Xenopus tropicalis: one gene and its partners. The protein of the gene in region 2 interacts with the protein of the main gene of each other region in a biochemical or structural test. Links are inferred from orthologs where the notes say so. Each region holds a gene or a part of one and is shown on either strand. Other genes may lie near its edges. The genes, in order: angpt1, tek and angpt2.

Region 1 (3,739 bases), on a different chromosome or scaffold from region 2:
GTTGAATTCTCTGGATGAGCTGGGGAGCCAGCAGCCCTCAGTACACTGCACTGTAGCATAGGAACCAATCAGCAGCTAGGCTGACCTGATAGGGAACTGAAGCCTGTCTGTGCTTGTGTGAGTGCAGGGCTGTGATTGGCTCTCCCCCTCCTACTGTGCTTCTGGCAGGGACCATTAGGACACGCCCACTCTTCATTTCACACTGGACAGAGAAGTGATAGGATCTATAGGGAGCTCCAATAAAGGGGCCATTGTTACAGATAGGATTAATGTTTAGCCCAAAGTGAAACCAGCACCGTATATTATTCATAATTGCCTACAAAATTAGCGTTTTTCCCATTTATCCAATATGTCTCCTTTAATAAATACCAGACATTCGAGTTTTTGAAACATAATTCCAATTTGAGTTTTTTTAGCCCAAAAAACTTTGAATTGTGAAACAAAAATCAAGCTTGAAAGTTGATAAATCACCCCCTTGATGTATAGACATCAGAGCTATAAAGTATATAAGAGACCTGTATATCAGAGCAGAACAATGGTGCTCTCAAGGGCAATCCTTGGGAATACAGATGCCACTCACCTCCTTCCTTGGAACAGAGTTTAACGAGGTTGTGCACCGTCTCCATGAGCTCCAGCTGCTGTTTCTGCAAGATGCTGTTGTTGTTTGTTGCCTTATTCAGCTGCTTCTCCAGCTCCTGGATGATGTAAATCTGGCGGGACACTAGATTTTGCAAAGATTCCTTTTCTGTTTTTATGGTATTCAGTTCATCCTTGTGTCTCTCTTCCATTTCCACCATTTTGTTTTCTAGCAAACTGTGAATAAGGAAGAATAAAAAAATGGCAATTGAGCAATAGACAGAGCAAGAGATTTTACATTTTATTTGAGTAGTTTGAACATTATTCAGGGATTTTGTATAAGCATCTGTTTGACTGCCATTCTAATTTGCTGCATTGTTCCCTGACAAACTATTTTCAATGTACTAAATAATTTGTACATGAGCAGTCCATGACTTCTAGGAAGGGGATAAATGGTTATTGTGCCTGGGTAGCACCTCCCACATACATATTATATGCCAATGGCGTGGCACTACCATATTCCCCTGTGCTTTACTTAGAATTTATCAATTAAATATGTTGCTCCCATGAAGAACCCCTCCCCCATTTCTGTCGGACCCAACAGCAATACATATATAGCAGTGCTTGTCAAACATTTTCCGTTCAAGCACCCTTGATGATCCAGCCTTGGCTCAAGAGACCCCCTTAGTTCATGAAGTGGGTACTGATATAAAAAATAGTGACAAATCAGTCATTTCATCATCATTTTAAGAATATTTAGATCAGACAACACATAGTACAGGTATAGGACCCGTTATGCAAAATGCTCAGGACCAAGGGTATTCCGGATAAGGGGACTTTCCGTAATTTGGATCTCCATACCTTAAGTCTACTAAAAAATCAATAAAACATTAAATAAACCCAATAGGATTGTTTTGCCCCCAACAAGGATTATTTATATCTTAGTTGGGATCAAGTACAGGTACTGTTTTATTATTACAGAGAAAAGGGAATCATTTAACCATTAAATAAACCCAATAGGGCTGTTCTGCCCCCAATAAGGGGTAATTATATCTTAGTTGGGATCAAGTACAAGTACTGTTTTAGTATTACAGAGAAAAGGGAATCATTTAACCATTAAATAAACCCAATAGGGCTGTTCTGCCCCCAATAAGGGGTAATTATATCTTAGTTGGGATCAAGTACAGGTACTGTTTTATTATTACAGAGAAAAGGGAATCATTTAACCATTAAATAAACCCAATAGGGCTGTTCTGCCCCCAATAAGGGGTAATTATATCTTAGTTGGGATCAAGTACAGGTACTGTTTTATTATTACAGAGAAAAGGGAATCATTTAACCATTAAATAAACCCAATAGGATTGTTCTGCCCCCAATAAGGGGTAATTATATCTTAGTTGGTATCAAGTACAGGTACTGTTTTATTATTACAGAGAAAAGGGAATCATTTAACCATGAAATAAACCCAATAGGGCTGTTCTGCCCCCAATAAGGGGTAATTATATCTTAGTTGGGATCAAGTACAGGTACTGTTTTATTATTACAGAGAAAAGGGAATCATTTAACCATGAAATAAACCCAATAGGGCTGTTCTGCCCCCAATAAGGATTAATTATATCTTAGTTGGGATCAATTACAAGGTACTGTTTTATTACTACAGAGAAAAAGGGAATCATTTTTAAAATTCTGAATTATTTGGAAAATGGAGTCTATGGGAGACAGGCTTTCCGTAATTCGGAGCTTTCTGGATAACGGGTTTCCAGATAAGGGATCCGATACCTGTAATCACAAACTCACTCTAAATGATGCTCAAAATTGGCTTGTAGGATAACAAATTGCCATTCTCTCCAATTCTCACTGGCCTTCAGACTAAGCCACACTTAACACAGCATCACAGGGTACTGTAGTTATTAGATGTATCATATTATATTTGATATTGTAGATAGTGTTAATTAGTGATGAGTGAATCTGCCCTGTTTAGCTTCACCAAAATATTAGTGAAACGACAGAAAAATTGACCTTTTTGACTTGCGTGACTTTTTTTTTAAGCGTCTGCGCTCATTTCGAAGGGACCGCAACAAATTTGACACAACTGTGCCTATTTTTACGTGACCGTGCCTAGTTTGATGCGACTGTGACTTTTTTTGAGGCACGTCAAAATTTTTTGTGCTGAATTTTCACTGAAATTTTGCAAAACAATTCGCCAATGCCAAAATGCGGAAATTTGCTGCAAATCCATACCTGGCATAAAAATTCCCTCATCACTAATGTTAATGAACTATGTGTTGCAAAAGGTTATATTTTATGATTGCATCCACAGTAGGTCGCCCTACATGAACTCCCCTATTCTGTGTGTATTCCCTTCTAACTGTTGTCCACAAGTGTCATAGTATGTGCAGTAGAGAATAAGGGAAGAATATGTAGGGACCCATAGGGTTAAGCTCCCTATGGTGTTATCCCTTAACTTTTCCTTATCTGTGCTGTAATAGGGCAGAGCCCTCTACACTCAGATTACAGTATTAGGCTACCCCCTATAGGTTTAGCCCAGGTTGACCACTCCCCTTGGCAGACTATATAGTTTCTGGCACAAGGAAGTGTCTTCCTCTTTGGCTGCTGTTGTCCTAAGGCTGCACGTCACTGAGCCTGAGGCATTCGGCCCCAGTAAGTAGAACCTGCCAAATTGTAAGTCGGGGACAGGGCCCCGTGAATGAGATAAAGCCAGCACAGTCAGTTATATGTAATAGCACCCTCTAGGAGTGGTGAGCATAATCAGCTTATTTAGTAAGGGCAGCACTAGCCCCATCAAAGGAGACTGTAAGGGTTTAGTCTAACCCAGGCTTTGTATGCCTTGCTGTAGGGACCCCAGTTAAGACGCAGGATTCAGGCAGTTCCTTACCCTGAACCATAGTTGGCTGGAGGGGATCCGTTCCAGTAAAGGGCATCCATTCCTGGCATACAGCTAATACTCTGCATATCCTCCAAGTGGGCTATACTGTTACCTTGAGTGTCACTTCTGCTGTGTTCTCTGTGACCAAGTTCTATACTGCTGTGACTGTGAGTATATACCCTGTTGCACTATTCCATATGTGCCTTTGTCCAATAAAGTATTATCCAGTTAACTGCAAGAGCTCCTGGCGTCCAATCACTTATTATATTGCACAAC
Region 2 (3,675 bases):
GTTATTAAGGGCTAGTATTTTATTTATTTATTTTTTTTTGCAATATTTTTAAGATCTAATCTGCAAGATTTTGAAGGGATTGGATATAAGGTATTAATGTGAATGTGGAACCAAACATGACTCCAACACAGCAAACCTGCATACCAGATTCAATGATAGCTTTGTTTAGGGCATGTGTGCATGTGTGGTAATATAGCAGAGAAGAGGATATAGCAGAGAAGCTATTAGACGCTTGGGATATGACAGAGGGGAAAAGATCAAGAGATGGGCATGATTTGGGTGTCATCAGCATATAGATATTAAAACCAAAGGAGCTGATGACTTGACCCAGAGATGCAGTGTATAATGACAAGAGTTTGGTCCAAGGACAGAGCCTTAAGGGACCCAACAGAGAGCTGGTGAAGAGGTTTTATCCAAAAATGAGACATAGCAGGAGCGGTTAGAGTGGTATGACTGGATCCAGGTTCTCTGCAATATTAAAAAAACAATGTGCAAGTCTTTACCTTTCTTTCTTCCAGCATTCGGTTAAGGGACACCACAATTTTGGCAAATGATGGTCTTTCATATGGCTTCTCACGCCAGCACTGCCGCATGAGGTCATACCTTTATTTAAAAAAGACAAAAAAAGTAACGATTTTTGCACAAATTATGTATAGATGGTATAGATCAATTCCCTTAAACAACACAGTGATCTGAAGCACCTGGCAAAGTTTTGCAAGTATTTTGGATCATTTTAGCTGCGCAATACCAAACTCTTCACTAGACACTATTATGGCAGCCAAAATGTACTAGGAACTTGCCAATTTAAACCAGTTGTTTTTTTTTTTTTTGAACACTGAGGTATATATATATATATATATATATATATATATATATATATATATATATATATATATATATATATATAGAACCTAATATGCATACTTTATGCAGGTTAGTAAGTCCTGGCCATTTTTGCATGTGCCTGTATACTGTATAATAGCACCACTTATTATTCATTACAGTTTGTCAGTAAAGTCTCTTACTTACACTTCATCATCACAGTTCAGAGGCTTCTCAAGTCTGTATCCTTGTGGAAGCTTTTCATAAAGTTCTGCACATGTCAGCCCACAATATGGTGTTCCACCTTAAAAAAAAAAGGCATAATTTACATATTTCGGTGGTATTTGCCATAAAATGGCAATTGCAATAATATACTTGTTACATATACATACACAGTGAAACATGTTTTAATCTTCTGAATGATCCGTATAGGGGTTCCCAAAATAGGCCCCATTAAAGTATTTTGGGCTTTATATAAAATGTTTGTACTGCACCTAAAAAGCAGCAATGAAGTTGAGGTTTAAATCAGTAAATAGCAATAGTGTATTTATTCATTTCTAAGCCAATGAAGTCAAATTTGGTCCACCTGTCACCACTATATGTTCTTCAGGCAAGCATTTCTGTGGAAATAGGTGAAAGGTGGAGGTGTTTTGCCTGTTGCAATTTTCCACCTTAGATTGGCCCCATGTGCCACAGACTTAAGAGCTGACTTTATGTAAAGTAATAGACAGGCGCTCAACTTATTAATATGAAATATGAACCTACTTTTCTGTCTGTAAACTGATATTAGGGAATTATTTTCACCTTATAAATCATCTCACTTATTTACAGAGCTGTGATTTTTATTTATGTGAGTCAGTGACCTAAATATATAAGCACTTACCCAGGCTTACAATTTCCCACAATAATACTCCAAAAGACCATCTATAAAGATATATTCAGAAAAAAAAGATTAATTTCATGCAGATTTACTAAACAGATTACATAACCATCAACATAATCATGTTATGAAATATGACTAGGAATAAGCGCTAAAATGATTAATTAAGGATAACATTTAGTCAAAGTAAAACATTATCAATTTATCATTTTTTCTGGCATTAAAACGATTTGGCTGCCTCATGATAAAATTGCCCTAGTTTTTAAACTGAGTTTGTTGGGAGGCATTATTTAATGTGAGCTTGATATATAAAGTTCTAAAGTTACTTACACATCACTGTTTGATGTATAGACACTGTAGTTCAAAGACTCAATCGCCATCCATCGAACAGGAAGTCTTCCCTGTTAAAAAAAGATATTTAGGTTTTTTTACTATTTTTTTTATTTTTATTTTAATATTACTCATAGCAAGTACAATGTTCTCATTACGAACATTGTCAAAAAGAAAAGGAAAACAAAATACCAAAATAATTACAATTTCAAATGATAGCTCCCATTTTTGTATAGTACAGTAAAAAAAGCAACAGATCTAAAGATTATCTGGTCCAGAGATATTCTTCCATATTTGCTGAGCTTCCTGTAAGTATCTTTTTCCTGAGATGCTTCTTGGTATTGCCATTTCATATTCTAGGTTGAGATTAACTTCTCTAATTAACTGAAAAATAATTGGTACATCTTGGTTTTTCCAATTTCTGGGAATTAGAAGCCTAACTTTATTTAAGATTTGGAAAATCTCTGTTTCCAGAGCTTTGTTTGGTATGCTGTCATATATGTTAGTAACATTGCTTCTGGGGATAAAACAAAGTTTTGTTAGAAGTAATTTAATAATAGAGAAAAGGCTGAAGACCAGAAGGTTTGGATATCAGAGCAGGTCCACCATATATGTAACAGTTTGGTGTTTTCTTATATTAGTGCTTTCTAAGGCAGGTGGGAAGGTATGTTTGTGCCCATAGCAGTAAGACCAAACTTTGCTCACTATTACATTTTATATCTACCACCAGAAAAATGTACCCTATAGATATCCGAATTACGTGAAAATAGTACAGAATTCTTGCTCTATATTTCTCTTCGAGAGTGAAGGCATTTTTCCTCCTGTTTTACTGTTTTTAAGCATTACTGACACAACTTGCAATTTAAACACTCATTTACTATAACCCTGTCACATTACATGTGGCAATCTTGGGTAAATGCAGTAGGAGGCATTTTTAAGATACTACCTTGGCATATAGCTATATCTATATAGAGAAAGAGATTTAAAATTTTACATTTTTATTTATTTCTTTTTTCTCCGTAATAATAAAACAATTGGCATTAATGGTAACTAAGCTGCATGAATCCACATTCATAGCAGAATAAACACATTACTGAAACACCCCCTTTTCTGAAAAATTCTAGGTCCCAAGCATTCTGGATAGAACATACTTATACCTGTATAAGAAATAAGCAGTATTTATTTTCATTTTAAGGATTTCCATACACAGTTTAGTTTTCTTACCATAGTTTTCTTTACATAAACTTCTTGTCCTCTGGATAAACCAAAATCTGCAATTTTTGCAACATAGTTTTCACCAACTAAAATGTTTCTTGCTGCTAAATCCCTATGAATAAACTATAAAAAAAAAAAAAGTTAAATTAAGGAAAAAAGTTAATGATATCCTTAAATTCAAGATAAAACCAGGAAAAGAATAATGATAGAAATTCTGTAGCTACTTTTTCAGTGTAATATAAATACCTACCTGCTTTTGGCTCAGGTAGTCCATACCTCGGGCCACATCTGCAGCAAAGTGTAGCAGCTGCTGGGAAGACAAGGTAGAGGCCGTGCTGTTGGCTATAGCAAATGCTGGGTCAGTTTCCAGTACCCGGCTTTTTCTTAGAAAGTCGAGTAAATTGCCATGGGGGGCATATTCAATAGCC
Region 3 (3,500 bases), on a different chromosome or scaffold from region 2:
TGCTACAGTCTCAACTTTGCTGTGGTGGGGTGCTTTTGTTTTGGTTACCTTTAGGCAGGGGTCATGTTCATAGCCAAGGGGCAGGTGTGGAAATGCTGGAAAGAAAACCCTCAGGGTAACTCACTGCTTGGTGGCCAATGAGTGTCTGTAACTCTCTTGTAGTATTATGGAGTGTTATCAGTGACATTCAGTGGTGTACCTTGCTCCATACTAAACAGTTGCATTTTACAGTTACACCGCACAGATATTTAGTGAAGGCGAGGAATTTTCCAATTTGACTACCCTGTAAGGGCCCAAGCAACTTTACCTGTGAGCCGCAACACAAACATGAAAAAGTTCCTGAGGGTGTCAAATAAGGGCTGTGATTGGCTATTTGGTAGCCCCTACAATATAAGTGCTAGTTCTCAGATCAGGTGCTGGGTGAGTGCTCCAAAAGGTAGTCTTTAAGTTTCGTTTTAATAAGACTGAGAGAGGATTCTCTCCGGAGGAAATCAGGGAGGGCATTCCTAATGTAAGAGGTTATATTACTTGCTTAACATTCCTGAGATCAAGAATGAGACATTTAAATAATGCACATAGAGTAAGATTATTTTATTGATTTGACTTTGTGCACTCTGAATGCAGAAAGGTACATTAAACTTTTACTAACCGTTTGTATCTGTATGTTATTCTAAGTGCACTGAAGTTCTTATGGTGGTGCCTACTACAATAAAATATTATACCTTCTGGAAGGTCTTACAGTCCATCACTCTTTCTTTGTCAAGTATTCATTTTTTATATTTTCTCATGTGCAAAGAATATATCTGTTGACAGATGCAGTTTTTTGCATGAGTGAAGTTCCTGGCACAGCCAGGTGGTCTGCACTAAGGAATGGATGGCAAACAGGAAAATTAAAGCAGACTGAAAATAATTTGTTAAACTAGGCTCATTTACTTGGGAAGGTTTGTGTGCAACTTTTTTATTTGTTCCAGGCTTTTATTTGCCTGTAGTGAATTATGCCATTTATGTTTTTACAGTTCTAGCCCCCTCCTTTACTAATTATGCACTTTTTAGTGTTCTATCCATACTTACCATTCTGAGGTGCCATCCTAGTCAGGAGATTGTGTACCGTTTCCATCAAGTCATGCTGCTGTTTTTGCAGAAAGGAGTTATTTGCTGATGCTGTTACAAGTTGCTTTTCTAGATCCTCAATAATAGTATTTTGCTTCAGCACCAAATCTTGAAGTTTATCCTTTTCTTCCTTTATTGTCTGAAGTTGTGCCGTGTGCTTGTCCTCCATGCCTAGGACTTTCTTTTCTAAAAAGCTGAAAAGAGGTATTTATATTACATACAAATTATGATTATATGATTAAACAAGCTAGTATAGGTAAATATAAATCAATACAACCCTTGTCAAAACAGTGTATAAGATTCTATTTGTGGGCTGTGTGCATCTTCTGTTTTGGAACTGAATGCCAATGCAGTTTTTCTTTTTTAAAGCCATTTTTTACTTTAAAAACACATGGAACTACAAACTATTGTAGTGGATACTATAGATCAGGGAAGCAGAAGTTAACATACTTTTTAGTAAGGAACCACAAATCTGGGTGAAAGATTTTAGCTGAATTCAGACTATAACATATATTCATTCTGACAATATGTTATTAAGTAAGTACAGGTATCGGACCCCTTATCCGGAAACCCGTTATCCAGAAAGCTCCGAATTACGGAATGCCCGTCTCCCATAGACTCCATTTTAATCAAATAATTCAGAATTTTAAAACTGATTTCCTTTTTCTATGTAGAAATAAAACAGAACCTTGTAATTGATTCCAACTAAGATATAATTAATCCTTATTGGATGCAAAACAGTCCTATTGGGTTTAATTAATGTTTTATTGATTTTTTTGTAGACTTAAGGTATTGAGATCCAAATTACGGAAAGACCCCTTATCCGGAATACCCTTGGTCCCGAGCATTCTGGATAATGGGTCCTATACCTGTACTTATGAGTAAATAAGAAAAAGTCATAAAATTCACACATTTACAAGACAAAGCATTGATAATATCTTTGGTTTTCTCTACTTTGGTTTTATTATCGTTATTTCATTTATTTGAAAAGCAGAAATTTGGCTGGTTTCCATTATTTATTTAATAACTTCTTGAAAATAAAAGACTTAATTTTGATTACTATACAATGCAACTGTTACACATGACCAATAATAACATGGTTTTAAAGTGTTTATTTTAGTACGCCTGTGTCCATAAACTAGTCTTTATAAACTAACACTCTTTTAAAAGCAACAAAACGGCTTGTTTAACTTTACGGTGGTTCTGAGATGCATTGTGAGAATTCTTGTGGTCTGCACACTGTTTAAGGTTGTGTATTGCTGCTTCTTAATGAGACTACCTCAAGCTGCTTACTTACGTTGATATCTCATTCTTCAATAATGAAGAGGGAGACAAAAGGCTTGTGATTTGACAGCTCCAGAAGGCCTTAATAATCACTTTATATTCTAGAACTAATCCTTTGACTGGTAGGTTTAATTGGCTTGTGTATAATATGTAGTATTATTTTAGTAAATGTTCCACTTAAATTCAAAACTGTTAGTGTGTAGATTATTTTTTCTTATCGCTGTTTCAGAGTATAATTCTCTCTTTCAGACTTTATAAATATTCCCTGCACAGGAACAAACGTATTAGACAGCAAGGAAATATTATGTCATTGTGTCTGTGGAAATGCTTTTTATCTCCGTTTTGAGGAAGAACCTATGAACTTTGGCACAATTGCTGTTTTATGAAAACAGATGGTATTTCCTCTATTGATCACTGGGGAAATGAGTACTATTGCTGAAATAATCACCTAGCGGTGAAAAACATTTTCTATGGTTGTTTGCAGACCAGTAATGTTGCATGAAAAGGAAATATGTAGCCTACAGCTATGCAGTAGCATTTAGAACAAATGTGTCCTTTAGAGAAGACTGATAGCGTTGTGGCTCGTGTTCAACATATGGATCCCTAACTAGTCTTTGCAACTCTATTTTCTGTGTCTCTGAAATTTAATTAAGACATGCTATATAACTGCCCTTATTTTTTCCATTAGTCTCAAAACCATGTTTACATTTACAGCGTATCTCAGCTGACTTAGAAGTTACCAACAAAACTGGCTGAAAACAATAGTTCTGAATTTGCTCCACATGAAAACAAGCTTCAGCAGATTTTTTGCTGAAAATAACTAGTTTTAAGTGGTTTGAATTACTGACCAGAGGAGAAATCCCACTATGTGCCATTATACTAAACAAATAGTTTTTTTTAATTATTCAAAAAACCTCTGTTGGTCCACTTAAATTTAAACATGTACAACAATAGCGTTTATGCTAGCACATGCATGCTCTGAAAAACAAGCATTAGGAGGAAGGTTTTGCTAGTGATACATCTGGGTCACTGATGCAACCAGTGTGTATCATTGGGAGGAAATTCTATCAAGACGCATCTTTTTGTGAATGTTTCCATGGGTACCA

Evidence for each region.
Region 1: the proteins of tek (region 2) and angpt1 form a complex in vitro, tested with the Homo sapiens proteins (6 studies listed by BioGRID and IntAct, with this or other methods). The link is inferred for Xenopus tropicalis from reciprocal best matches to the Homo sapiens genes TEK and ANGPT1.
Region 3: the proteins of tek (region 2) and angpt2 form a complex in vitro, tested with the Homo sapiens proteins (7 studies listed by BioGRID and IntAct, with this or other methods). The link is inferred for Xenopus tropicalis from reciprocal best matches to the Homo sapiens genes TEK and ANGPT2.

Annotation. Positions count from the first base shown.
Region 1 is NC_030682.2:133,256,641-133,260,379, forward strand, and holds part of angpt1 (angiopoietin-1), read right to left. Parts: intron 818-3,739; exon of another isoform or gene 814-817; coding exon 581-813; intron 1-580. UniProt on the Homo sapiens protein: Binds and activates TEK/TIE2 receptor by inducing its dimerization and tyrosine phosphorylation.
Region 2 is NC_030677.2:122,336,309-122,339,983, reverse strand, and holds part of tek (angiopoietin-1 receptor), read right to left. Parts: coding exon 3,498-3,675; intron 3,371-3,497; coding exon 3,257-3,370; intron 2,104-3,256; coding exon 2,033-2,103; intron 1,747-2,032; coding exon 1,706-1,746; intron 1,127-1,705; coding exon 1,030-1,126; intron 604-1,029; coding exon 504-603; intron 1-503. UniProt on the Homo sapiens protein: Tyrosine-protein kinase that acts as a cell-surface receptor for ANGPT1, ANGPT2 and ANGPT4 and regulates angiogenesis, endothelial cell survival, proliferation, migration, adhesion and cell spreading, reorganization of the actin cytoskeleton, but also maintenance of vascular quiescence.
Region 3 is NC_030681.2:97,085,269-97,088,768, reverse strand, and holds part of angpt2 (angiopoietin-2), read right to left. Parts: intron 1,305-3,500; coding exon 1,072-1,304; intron 1-1,071. UniProt on the Homo sapiens protein: Binds to TEK/TIE2, competing for the ANGPT1 binding site, and modulating ANGPT1 signaling. Can induce tyrosine phosphorylation of TEK/TIE2 in the absence of ANGPT1.